2 linked regions of the Caenorhabditis elegans genome follow. The protein of the gene in region 2 purifies or fractionates together with the protein of the main gene of each other region. This does not show direct contact. Each region holds a gene or a part of one and is shown on either strand. Other genes may lie near its edges.

Region 1 (8,112 bases), on a different chromosome or scaffold from region 2:
GTCGGAATTGAAAATTTCGTTTTACATCCAAATCCGTTTTACATCAAATTATACCCCTGTTTCTTCTTCTACAGTTCCCCTCCATTTTTTCGATTGCAGACTTTCTAGAAGTTTACATGGTTTGTGACTCTGTAATATGCTCATCTGAACCGTATGTTGGCAGATGTTCTTGCTCACAAGACCATCCGTTGTTTGATCTCTCATTTCCCACCATTAGAAGACCCGTTGTTGGCTGCAACATCAAAAACGAAATCCTCAATTACACGCAACTAACTGCTCAAATTATAAGCTTATCTATCATCTCAACAGAGGAGATCAGCTCATATTCTTCTCTCACACACCTCTTCTACCCATCACAAGATGGAGTCGTGCCAGCCCGTACCAGTGTGCTTGTTACCTAGGCGACCTGAGAAGTACAAAATAATCATCCGTCTCTTGTTTCTCACACCTTGTTAAAACTAGTCAGTTTTATACTTTTGTCTTCTGACTTCAATTCTCTTCTATTCTCTTCTTCATTAAGGATGCCCGGATCAACTGGTGCAATGGATTTGACGGAGCAAGACACGGGTAATCGCAGACAGTAATGCCTATCAGGACTTTAACTACTTGTTCTATTATAGACGAAGTTCAATAGAGATCGTACAGACACATAAATTGACAAAATTTTTGGCTCATTTCCTTCATGCTTCCATCTGGATTCACATACATATCTAATATAAAATTTCAAGTTTCACTCATCGTGTTAAACTACTTCTTATCAATAAAATCTAGTGATTTTTTTTCAATATTATACATATAAAAACCTCTCGGTTTTTTGGGGACCTCTTCAGCTGAAAACTCGTATACTTTTCCCAAAGCGTGATCGTTGATCGACTATCTGTAGCATATCGATTTGTACATCTAGTAATGGGAAACGTTTGCCAAATTTTCAAATAATTAGAATCTTTATCTCTCCAGCTCCTTAGTCTGGTACACCCAACCTTCTTCGCAACAATATTCCGCTCATCACCCACCCACCCATTGCTATGGATTCTCTCCGTCTCTTATTCCACTATTCTTTCTCTCACCCGAATCGTCTTGACCGCAGTCGGAGTCTGTCATTTCTCTCAGTCTCCACGTTCTCCATGCTCTTTTCCACTTTCACCTTCGTTCTCTTTCGTCGTCTGCCTCTAACCCCACACTCGGTCAGCAGTAGTAACAGCTCGCACACACAGACACAGACATACGCTTGCGCGCGCGCAATGAAATGGGTGTGTGCTCGTGTGTGACCGTTTCTTAACTTTTTTTTTGAATTTGACAAATAAATTAATTAGCGCAGCTTTCATAATCTTAAATCTTAAAAAAATTAACAAACTTATATATAGTTTCCAATGTTATCTGTGCCCTGATTTTCCTAAAGTCCGGAAAAAAAATTCGTTTGAATTATCGATTTGAATTTTTCCCCAACATTAAAAATTTAGTTTTCAATATTTGAGGTGAAATCATACTGATAACTATATAATATACTATAACATTAATAAATTTCTAGATGACTTTTTTCAATGTTATCAATTTGTAAACTGTGTGATTCAATTTTAAATATGAAATATATATTTCAAAATTTTTTGATTAGGTAATGTTGGCAATTGGCATTCAAAGAAATTTTGTCAGTTGATAATTACCAAAAAAATTTGATTGGAAGGGGTCGAAAGTTTGCCAGTTGTCAAAACATTTCCAAAGCTTTGCCTTTTTGGCAAAATTATGCACCTCTTACTCTCCCTCTCCCTTTTAATATTTATCAAAATTAATTCCTTTTTTCAGGTATGCAGCCGTTTAAAAGACGGGCGCTAACCTCGGACGATGATAGACCATATGCTGACACCGACTCGATGCCTGAAGTCGATCTCGACGTGGATCGCCGACGACAGTACATGGAACAGCTCAACATATTCGATGATGTTAGTTCAGGCGCGTATATGTTGGAACTTGAAGCGGCTGAAAACGGTGTGAAATATGATGAAAAAGAGGATCTTTTGAATGTTCAAATTCCCCCAAAATATGAAGATCAGATCTCGGATCCGGATGGAAATCGAATGATAATTCTGAATATCTACGTTGAGAACTTTAAAAGTTATGCTGGAAAACATATTCTCGGACCGTTTCACAAGAACTTGACAATGATCCTGGGACCAAATGGAAGTGGAAAGTCAAACGTTATTGATGCATTGCTATTCGTGTTTGGATTTAAAGTGAGTTTTTTAAATTGAAATTTTTATTCCACAATATACATTGTTTCAGGCTGGAAAAATTCGTACCAAGAAGCTATCAGCATTGATCAATTCAGGAGGGAACTACGAATCATGTTCAGTAACAATTATGTTCCAGATGGTGAAGGATATGGTAAGTAGGTTATTAAAGCGGGCCTGAGATCCACACGATTGAAAACAAACTAATAACTATCAATATCAAAATTAATTTTCAGCCTGTCGAAAATTACGATAAATATGAAGTGTTAACAGATAATTGCGTCTGCATCACCCGCACAATAAATCGTGAAAACAATTCAAAATATCGTATTGATGACAAAGATGCATCGCAAAAAGACGTCCAGGAGCTTCTCCTACGTGCTGGAATTGATATGACCCATAATCGATTCCTGATTCTGCAAGGAGAAGTTGAAGCGATTGCACTAATGAAGCCAACATCCAAAAATCCGAATGAAGAAGGAATGCTTGAATATATTGAGGATATTGTTGGAACCAATCGTTTTGTCGCACCAATTTCCAAACTAATGCATCGGGTTTCTCTATTGGAGCACAAAAGTTCACAATATGGAGCCTCGTAAGTTCATTTTAATATTATTAAATACCACAAATTTTGGCACGGATGTACCACATAAAAATATAAAGCATGGAAATTCAAATTGAACTAGGAAAAAACAAAAAAACTTTGCGGTTTCAACTTGAAATATATTAATTTTCTGAAACTTAAAAAAATTTCAAATTAAAATTCTTTCCATTTCCAGTGTTCGCCGCCACGAGGGACACCTAAAAGTCTTTGAAAAGGCAATGGTTATCGGGATGGCCTACCTGAATACCTTCAATAATCTCAACTACCTTCGTGGAATCCGTGTCAAGCACAATTTGTGCCGTTATGCTGAAACAATGAGGGACGCCAAAATGAGTCTTGTCACTCGAACAGGAGAACTCGAAGAGAACAAGGATATCATGCTTGAGGCAAAGGATGAAGTTCGGAAGAAGGAGACTCACGAGAGAAGCCTTAATAGTATTGTCACTGAGCTGGAGAATAAAAGAATCGATTGGCAATCGAAGAAGAATGACTGGCATGCACGTGATGCTAAGAGAAAGCAGGGGCTCAAGTCGTGTACTCAGGACCTTGGGAAGCTCATGAAGGAGCGGGATGAAGCTCGTCGGGAGAAGTTTGAAATTGAGACGGCTCCAGAGAATGCGAGAATCTCTAAGCAAAACATGCAACTCGAATGGGATCAGCTCAAGGAGCAGGAGAATGTGTGTCAGCGGACAGCTACAGAGAATCTCATCAAGTATGATCAGAAGTCTAGTGCCGACAGAGCGAAGCATGATGATCTGGAGAAAAAACTCTCAGATGAGCTTCTGCAATCGATGCGAGCAAAAGCAGAATTGGACGTTTCTGAATCAGAACTTAAGGATATGACGATAATGATGGAGCAGGGACAGAAGAGAGTTGATGAGCTTAAAGGGACATTGCAAACAATGATGGCTGAGAACATTAGAGATAATACGTAAGTTTTATTTTATTTTATTTTATTTTAACCAGCTTTTAAAAATTCCCCATATCCTTCCAGTGAGCTAAACGCCGTCACAACTGAGCTGCAAGATAGAAAGCTGAAGTTTGACAAAGCTGTCGAGAAGCTTCCGCATTTGAAGTCTACCGAACAACTTTTGAGAAGCAAGAAGTATGAGCTGGATCAAGAAGTGATTGAAGCATCGAACACCCAGGAAGTTACGTACCGTCATCAGGCAACCGCAAAGCTTCATGAACTGAAAGAGGCTGGATTATTTCCGGGCTTCAAAGGTCGCTTGGTAAGTTATTCGATTGGGAGTGAGTACCTGCTTTGAAATTTGATTAGCTGTGAGCATCCTGGGGTAATCTGATGTTCCATGTAAGTATGATTTTTCTGGGAGAAATACATTTTAAATAGGATCTTTCAAATTCAGAAGCCACACGTTTAGTCTGATTTCGAATTGATTTTTTTTCGAGGACCAATTTAAAATTAATTGTCTTACAGGGAGATTTGGCAAGTATCCCAATCAAGTTCGACACCGCAATTTCAACAGTGTTCTTTGCACAATTGGATTACCACGTTGTGCAAACTAGCGATGAATGTAGAATCGGAATTGGCTTCTGCCACGAGTACAAACTTCCTCGTACGACGTTTGTCTTCTTGGATCACTTGAAAGATACTGATACTAGCGGAATGGATTCTACAATGAAATTGTTGGTAGTTGCCTTTAGTTGCCAAATCTAATTAATTCTTATTTTCAGCCCAGCCGAACGACTTTTCGATAAGATTCACTGTGTAAACCCTGAGATTCGCCGCGAATTCTATTTCTTGATCCATGACATTCTGGTTGTTGACAGTCTTGAAGAAGCAACTCGAATTGATAAGAAGTATCCTGGAAGGCATCGTTATTGCACACTGAATGGCTCAATTTTGAACCGAAGTGGAGCATTGACTGGTGGTGGAAAACCGACGACTGGTCGTATTCGAAATGATAATAATCCAAACATGAGTGGAGTCAAAAAAGTTGATTTGAGCAAGCTAAGAGCCGCACAGGAGAAGCACAATCACGCACTGGAAGCTCATTTGAAGTTGCAGTTAAAGCAAGAAGAGATCCGAGCCGACAATGGTCCGATTATCAAACAGCTCGAGATTCGTAAGCGTGAATTGATTATGTCCACCAAGGAGCAGAAAACACGGATTGCCGAGTTAAAGGTGATTTATTTTTGCGTCTCTTACTGAAACACAGAAATTTTCGCTGTTCCGATTTTCTTGAAAATGGATATATCGAAAAAAAAACTAGATTTTATTCAAAATTTCCATTCTAATTTTTTAATTATTTCCAGAGCTCAATCGCAGCACATGAGCGCCGTATGGTTAACTATAGAGAAGTGACCGTTGAGGATTTGGACGAGAAGAGAGCTCAAATTGCAGATCTGAAACGTCAAGTGGAGGAGAGCCAAAAGTCTTCAGCAAAAATCAAGCAGCAAATTGAGCAATACAAACGGAAAATGGACCGAATGTTTATGGAGTTGGTCCAAAAAAATAAGGACTCAATTGAGCAGGCGAAGGATCGAATGGGACAGCTGGAGCAGGACATTGCACGACAAACTGCAATTATTGAGAACAATCCATCACATTTGGAGCAGGCCGAGAAGAAGCTTAGTGAGCTGGAGCATATGTGTCTGGAGAAACGTAGCGAGGCAGATGCATTGGCTCAATTGGAAGTTGGAGAGGATGTAAAGGGAATTGATATTATCAATGCGCAATTGCAAACTTCAACGGTATGTTTAATTTCTATAGGACTAGGATTCTGGTTAGGCTTATGTTTAGGCTTCGACTTCAGTTCAAGCTTAGGTCCAGGCTTAGGTTCTGGCTTGAGCTCCAACTTAGGCTTTTTTTAGGCTTAGGCTTTAGCTTGGTGTTTCCAACCTTGCTCCCTTAGTTCTAGTAAACATTTTCGATTTTTTTTCAAAATTTTAAACCACTATTCAAACAATTTTTGCGCTTTTTTAAGCAGTCTCCTTATGAAGTTCGCCATTTTCGAGCTATTCAGAATTTACCAATTCAAGCTTTACTATTTTCTAATTTTTAATCTTCCAGGCCAGCATTGATGCACAAAGAGCCAGGTACACTGAAGCGGTTGCGGCACGCCGAGAAGCAGATGCAGCCTATCAAACCACAGTTGACAACTACAACATGGTCAAACAGACTTATGATGAACTGATGAGAATCATTGATGACTTGGAAAACAAGACAATGGCGGATAATGCAGAACTTGATATTATTGAATCTGCATGGATGCAACCGGAAAAGCTCTATCCACCTGGCAAATTTGTCAGATATAATGATCCAGATATTGCGGCCAAAATGACTGATGGGTACGTTTCAGAAGCTTTGGGAGATTTTCCATGTGCAAATTCAAATTTATAATCACTGAGTTTTTAGGCACGTTGTACTCCCATATGAATGCATCAGTATGATCGAACCTCACCGTGAAGCTTACGAAGAGCACGAAGCGAGAATGCTTGAGGACGATGTTTTCGAGGACACTGCTAACAAGATTTGCAAGCTGGAAAAAGATGTTGACAAGTTCCGGCGGGAATTTGATAATAAAGGTGTTCGGGATTATGCGATGATTGTGTCGCTTCTCATGAACGAGGTGACGTCAGCGAAGAAGTTTAGCGATAAGCTGAAGGCTCATCGTGAGAAGCTCAACGAGTTGAGAATGGCGAGATTCAACGAGTTCAGCGAGGCGCTCGCATTCTTGGGTACTACTACCCAAATGCTTTACCAGGTGAGTAAGGGGTACTTGCCTGCTACCAGGCTGACAGGAAGCATTTTTTCTGTCAGACCCATTGCTTTAAATGAGATTAAAAGAAACAAGTTATTTGCTTACAGCTTATCACCAATGGCGGAGATGCTAGTTTGAAGTTTGTGGAAGAAGGAAAATCTACCGATCCCTTCGATGGTGGAATAAAGTTCAGTGTACGTCCCGCCAAGAAATCCTGGAAGCTCATCGAGAATCTATCTGGCGGAGAGAAGACTCTGGCCTCTTTATGCTTTGTCTTTGCAATGCACCACTACCGTCCAACACCCCTCTACGTGATGGATGAAATCGATGCGGCACTGGACTTGAACAATGTCAGCCTGATTGCAAACTATATCAAGCATTCCGAGCGAACACGGAACGCTCAATTTATCATAATTTCGCTTCGAAATCAAATGTTCGAGGTCGGAAATCGCTTGCTTGGTATCTATAAAATCGATGGAAAAACTTATAACATTATGGTGGATCCGATCGCGGTGGAGATCAAGAATCGTCCGATTTTGAAGATTTTCGAGGAGGAGATCAAACGGCGCGAGAAGCTACGACGTGCCGAGATTGAACCGGAAATTGATTTGAGTAATGGGCTCAGCAATGTCGTTATTGCACCAAAACGTAAGTAATAATTAGTGACATATCAACTGCACTTTAATTGTAAAATACCAAATCAAAGTAGCAACCAGTCCAACTTAAACCCATCTCAACAAATACCAATTTTCAGGTAAACAACGCCGGCTGGAAATGCTGAAACTCTCGGACTTTGGTCTCGATGATGACAGTGATCTTCCTGAATTTAATAGATTCCCACCCGCAACTCGTCGTGAATTAAGTGTTGAGGATTCAGATGAAGACGATGAGCCAGTAAGAAGACGTCCGCGTCGTCAAGTTGAAGAGGAAGATGAAGAGGATGAATTGATCGAAGAAGCAACTCCATCTCCACCACCAATTGTCGTTCAACGCCGTGTGCGAAGAAGCAGACATTAAATTGAAGTAATATATTTTAAACTAAATTTTGAAAAAAAAAAGAAAACTTTGTGAAAAATCCAAAAAATGAGACCAACTTTCTTTCAAGCTTGTATTTTTTAATATTCGTCTAGCTTAATTTTTCCTTGTGATTTTAATTATTTCCCTTTTTAATATATTTCCATTTTGTTGTATATTTTGTGAAACCCCTATATCTTTGCATCACGTACTGTCCAATCTATCTCATTTTCTTAATTCGCTGACAAGGTAAATTTTCGATTCACGATTCACAAAAATAATTATTTCATTTTTATTTTAGAACTACATTGCAAAGTTTTTCCTAAAAAAAATAATGCCATCAAAAAATAATTTCCTAACAAAGAAAATTTCCTAAAATTTCGAAAGCTGCTAAAAATTTGACTAAAAATTTTGGACAATCTGTTAAAAAACAGGATCTTTTATTTTGATATATACATAGTTATTTTAATCCTTTTTGGTAGACCTTAACAAATTTTTTGAAAATATTGTTAGTTGGGAAATTTGTTAAAACCACTCAAATGTT
Region 2 (4,929 bases):
ACCATAACATGTGTGCAAATTGTTATAAAATTGGAGTAAAATGAAGAGAATCGATATGTTGAATTGAATTTCAAGATTGAATCAATGTCTGCTTCTAGTTCTGTGCTGTCACCAGTAGTCGGTAGATAGTTTTCACTTCTGCAAGAGAATTATTTCTCCGTTTAAGGCTAAAATTAAAAAAATACGGTAGGGTTAAATGTAACAATTCTTAGAGGTTCCTTTCGATTTCCTGCTTTTTTCCATGATTGTCCAGGGCTGCCATAAATTCTCTGTAAACTTTGTGAAGTTTTCCAGAAAAAATTAACACTTGATGTACTTCCCGGAACAGACTTACTGATGCTATTGACTGATTATTGCTTTTGTATCAACCTCCCAATCAAAAACGAAAACGAATTTGCAATTTTCTCAGATTCGCAGTCAGAAATATATTATCCCACAAATTACATTTTTATGCAATATTTAAAAGTATATTTGTTAGGAACTATTTTAATGTACAATTTATACAAAAAATTAACAACGAAATGTGCAAAACAAAATAATGTTCAAATATTGGTAGATCAGTTCTTGCGCATAACATTGAAGATTACACTGAGTAATTTACACGTCACTTTACAGTTGTTGTTTAAATCTTTAATATATTTAAATCAAATATTATATTAATTGTTTTTGTTACTATACTTTCTACTGAAGTGTAGTTATACTGATTCAAAATGTTTTGTATCAAAAAGCTGTAATTTCTTGATTGTAACCTGACTGTATTCAAAAAATTACAGTGTAGTTTTGTATTTACCGTTCAATAAAAAAATAAATAAAAGTCTGAAATTTATTTTCGAGGTGTATATGCTTTGAACAATTTTACAAGAAACAACTTTGAGAATGCGCAAGAAATAAATGAAGAAAAATTGAAGATCGTGTGAGACATACCAGTAACAAAACCAGTAACAAAATGTTTCAAAATACAAATTATACATTAGTTTTCGAGAGTGATCGTTTTGGTGACTTCTGTAAAGTAACTGTCCTCTTTTGTTGTCACAATGAATTGGGTTTGCTTCTGACGTGAGAGGTATGGCTCAATCTGAAAGCACCACGTTAACTTTAGGCAATTTGATAAGAAACTGTTACAGCCGACGACACAACTTTTTAAAAATCAGTCTCAAGTTTCCGTTTATTTTTTCAGCTTGACAAAACTTTGAGAATACATTGCACTGAACGAAATACAGTTGTTTTTTTTTGCATTCAGATGTATATTGATAAATGATTGAACGAGATATGTACTAACCTTTTTACTTGCTTCATGGTACAAATTCCTGTCGATATCGTCGATGACAACAAGTGGCGAAGGTTTCCACTCATGGATAGCAAAAATGAGAGCCAAATCAACAATCATTCTGGACCCACCGTGAAACGTTCGAGTTGAAATGTGCTCACTGTGGCGTTCCTTCACAAATGCGTCAATTGCCAAGTAGGGCTCTTCCTCGTCCAATGGTCTAAGAAAAGCGAGAGAATCCTCGTCCTGCGCGATTTCAGCGTAAATTCTGCTCAGTGACGTTTGTAAAGGTGCCATAAAGTTGTTGAAACGTGCACTTCGCATGACTCTCAGCTGAAAATTTACAAAATAATGTGGTATTGTACTTCAGTAGCCATGCCACTTAAAGTTTTGATATGGTCTTGTAGATTTTTACACTCACTTTTTCCCAATTTAAACGTGCCTCTGATTCAATGTTCAGAGCCAATGTATGTTTCGTAGTTGCTTCCTTGATTCTCATGTTTATGTTATCGATATTTGCGTCATCCTTGATATTATTCTCGTCCAACCAACATTGACGAATTTTTTTGATTTCTTTTTCAAGCATAGAGCGTTTATAGCTAGTAGCTATAATATCGTCACTTTCCTGCAAACTCATTGGGTAATATATTTTAAATTTCAATGCATTACAAACCTTCTTATAGTACTCTGGCAATTCAGTGTAGTCAATTTCTCTTGCATAGATATTTGGGCCTGAAAACGATAGATAAATAAAAAATAGTTAATAACAAACATGTTCACCTTCTTCAGAAAACCGAATGTTCATGTTTGGATGATTCACAGCAAATTGAAGAAGCTCCCGACGTTCTGTCACTTTTTCATTCAAATAACTGTTCAGCTTGTCCACCGTAATCAAATTGTCGTAATGATTGTGAGTCTTTGGTCGGACAACAATCGCATTGTTTTTAAAGTTTGGTGATGGAGTTTGTTTCGGAATTGCTTCTGAGTATCTTGAAATTCTTAATGGCATCTTTGCATTCTGGAAAAAATAAAAGCATTGAAGGTTTTTTTCACAATTTTATTTGTACACTTCTACTTTATAAATTAACAAAAAACAAACCTTTGCGTTCACTTTTAACTGCTCTGCGACAAACTTCTCCTTGGTTTCCTGGATTTCTTTATCACATAAATACAGCTTGTAAAGCGTCAAGGTGATAAACTTTTCTTTTTCTAGTTCAATGCTATCAATCATTTTTGCCCACCGGAGAACAGTACTCTCCGCAAAATTCAATTTCGCTTTTAGCTCATCGTATTCTGGTTTGAACTCAATGGAGTTGGAAACTATGTCGAAAAATGCTCCAAGTTCTTCTGCACTTTTGCGGGTGACTTTTAGTGTTGTTTTGTTGTAGACAGATATATTTTGACCAGCAAATCTGAAATTCATTTTTCCAAGTTCCAATAAATATTCTTCTTCTGTGACGTATTTATTGAAGATCATGTAGGTGTATGTAGTTTTCAGTCCAATTCTCGTAAATCTTTTCGTTGATCCATCTGGCATTTCGAACTTCAAACTCACGACGCATCGAATGTTGTAGTCATAGAATAGGTGCTGTAAAATAATTTTTTTCTCGATTTTCATAATGTTATGCTAACCTCGTTGTGCGGATTTTTGGGATCAGGTAAGTCTTCGCCAAATACAAAGGCAATAGCTTCTATCATAATCGATTTTCCACACCCATTCATTCCAATAAAAGTTGTCACATGGTCAAATGGCCCGAAGCTTTTGTGGTGTTGGTAACATTTGAAATTTAGAATGTCAACTGTTAGTAGTCGTTGCTGCGGGTACGTCATGTCTGCAATTAAACAAATTTAAAAAAAGCGGTCAGAATCAACATCAAATTGTGATAAATAACATTTTTAAAACAAGAAAATTGAAGACAAAAAAGACAAAAAAAAACAAACGCAAATAGTTAATTCAAAAAAAATAGCAGACAATGATGAGCACGTCTTGTATTCTTAGGCCACGGCCACAAGTGCAGCGAGGGAGAAACCCTGCATTCGTATGGGTGCTGGTTTTCTCTGCGTCTATCTGCAAAACAAAAACTATCGACACTGTTGTAGAAATGGCCAAAATCGTGTAAAAAGCAGTTGAACGGGAAAGAAATGATTTGCCGAGTATGTATTTAAATCAGAAAATGTACTTCATGCTCTCCGTCTCAGAAATGGAATTGAACCGACAATATTTATATCTATAGTCTTTAGTATTATCTAGCAAACAATAACAAAAAAGTATTATTATTATGAATATTAAAAAAGAACGAAAGTGTGGTAAACTGCCTTTATTATACTAATCACATTGAAATAGCTTGGGACTTCGGATTTAAGAAAGACGAGTATGGTCGGGAATGTTCGTGAAGGAATTTTCGTCAGGCTTTATATTTTGTAAATGTATCAACATTGTAATAGATACACGTAAAAAAAGACATTAGATATCTGGCATGCTGAAAGTTGTGGTGTGTTTAGTGAAGTAACTGTCGTTGTGGGTGGTTACAATGTATTGAGTATTGTCCTGGCCGGTGAGATACGAACAGACCTGAAATTTGTTTAATTAAACAGTGAATTTATCTTTAGATGAGCCGTAGCTTCTGTTTTTTGACCAACCTTATTGCTTGTCGTTTCCGACATTCTTTTGTCAATGTCATCAACCACGAGGAGTGGTGAAGGCGTTTGCACATTTTTCAAATAAGCCGTTTGCTCGTGAAGTGCAAGAACAAGAGCCAGATTAGCAACGATTCCTCTTGATCCGCCGCGGTGGAAGCGAGTTGGCTCGAGATCTTCATTTATTCCTCCGACAAACAGATCAACATTCATACGGTTCATCCTCATTGGATGACGCAAGTGAAACGGTGGAATCCGGATCCTCAGAAATCTCTCTATAGATTCTGCTCACAGACGATGATACTGCAGCAAGGCGTTGATTGAAATGAGTACGGCGACTGGCTTTGACCTGAAATGAAACAATGTCTTCAAAAAACCAAGGTAATTCTATACACAGGTACAGAGAAATTCATAAAAATTTAAACAGAAAAAAACATTAAATAAACCTGTTCAATTTCGGCTTCTAGCTCAGTTGTGCGTAACTTTGCTATGTTAATAAAGCTGTCCGTCTCGTGGAATCTTATTAAAATATTACTCATATCCGGATACTCTGCTCCATTGACAGCAACCCATTCGTTACGAGTTGCCTGGATCGTTTCCTCCAAAGTACGCAGATGCATCTTAACTGTTTCAGCATCGTTGCTTTCCTGAAATTGAATAATTTTCTTCAAATGGCGGCAAATTTTCTTACCTTCTTCAACTCATCTGGTAAGGAGGAATAATCCGGTTTGACGTCGTAGGAAAACGTACCTAAATATTGAAGTAAATCCATGCTATTTGAAACTGTATTCAGAGTCACATACCTGCTTCTTTGGCAGGAATATCAAGATCCTGTAAAGTGACATTTGCAATGATTTTTCGACGTTGTGCACGTTGTTGGACGAGTCGATTTTCTAGTTCGATGACAATAGCCGGTTTTTCTGCGTTCTCTTGGGATAAACTGTCACCATCCAGCCTTGAACAGCCTTGAACCTTGAACATTGCGGGAGGAGCTTGTTTTGCAATTGCTTTTGGATCATCACTTT

Evidence for each region. The genes of interacting proteins can lie anywhere in the genome.
Region 1: the proteins of smcl-1 (region 2) and dpy-27 purify together in Caenorhabditis elegans (affinity purification with mass spectrometry; one study listed by BioGRID). This does not show direct contact.

The regions. Positions count from the first base shown.
Region 1 is NC_003281.10:3,813,368-3,821,479, reverse strand, and holds dpy-27 (Chromosome condensation protein dpy-27), read left to right. Parts: upstream 1-1,800; 5' UTR 1,801-1,802; coding exon 1,803-2,228; intron 2,229-2,277; coding exon 2,278-2,379; intron 2,380-2,461; coding exon 2,462-2,820; intron 2,821-3,004; coding exon 3,005-3,760; intron 3,761-3,823; coding exon 3,824-4,061; intron 4,062-4,267; coding exon 4,268-4,476; intron 4,477-4,524; coding exon 4,525-4,975; intron 4,976-5,106; coding exon 5,107-5,544; intron 5,545-5,863; coding exon 5,864-6,141; intron 6,142-6,208; coding exon 6,209-6,557; intron 6,558-6,661; coding exon 6,662-7,202; intron 7,203-7,308; coding exon 7,309-7,571; 3' UTR 7,572-7,836; downstream 7,837-8,112. UniProt on the Caenorhabditis elegans protein: Central component of the condensin I-like dosage compensation complex that associates specifically with hermaphrodite X chromosomes to reduce their gene transcription throughout development.
Region 2 is NC_003284.9:11,691,634-11,696,562, reverse strand, and holds smcl-1 (Structural maintenance of chromosomes-like protein 1), read right to left. Parts: upstream 3,100-4,929; 5' UTR 3,098-3,099; coding exon 2,900-3,097; intron 2,856-2,899; coding exon 2,367-2,855; intron 2,312-2,366; exon of another isoform or gene 2,286-2,311; coding exon 2,048-2,285; intron 2,000-2,047; coding exon 1,941-1,999; intron 1,908-1,940; exon of another isoform or gene 1,893-1,907; coding exon 1,689-1,892; intron 1,601-1,688; coding exon 1,280-1,600; intron 1,076-1,279; coding exon 971-1,075; 3' UTR 810-970; downstream 1-809. Other genes in the region: C44C10.5 (DUF4456 domain-containing protein), read right to left, coding at 4,107-4,253, 4,351-4,551, 4,596-4,654, 4,708-4,929.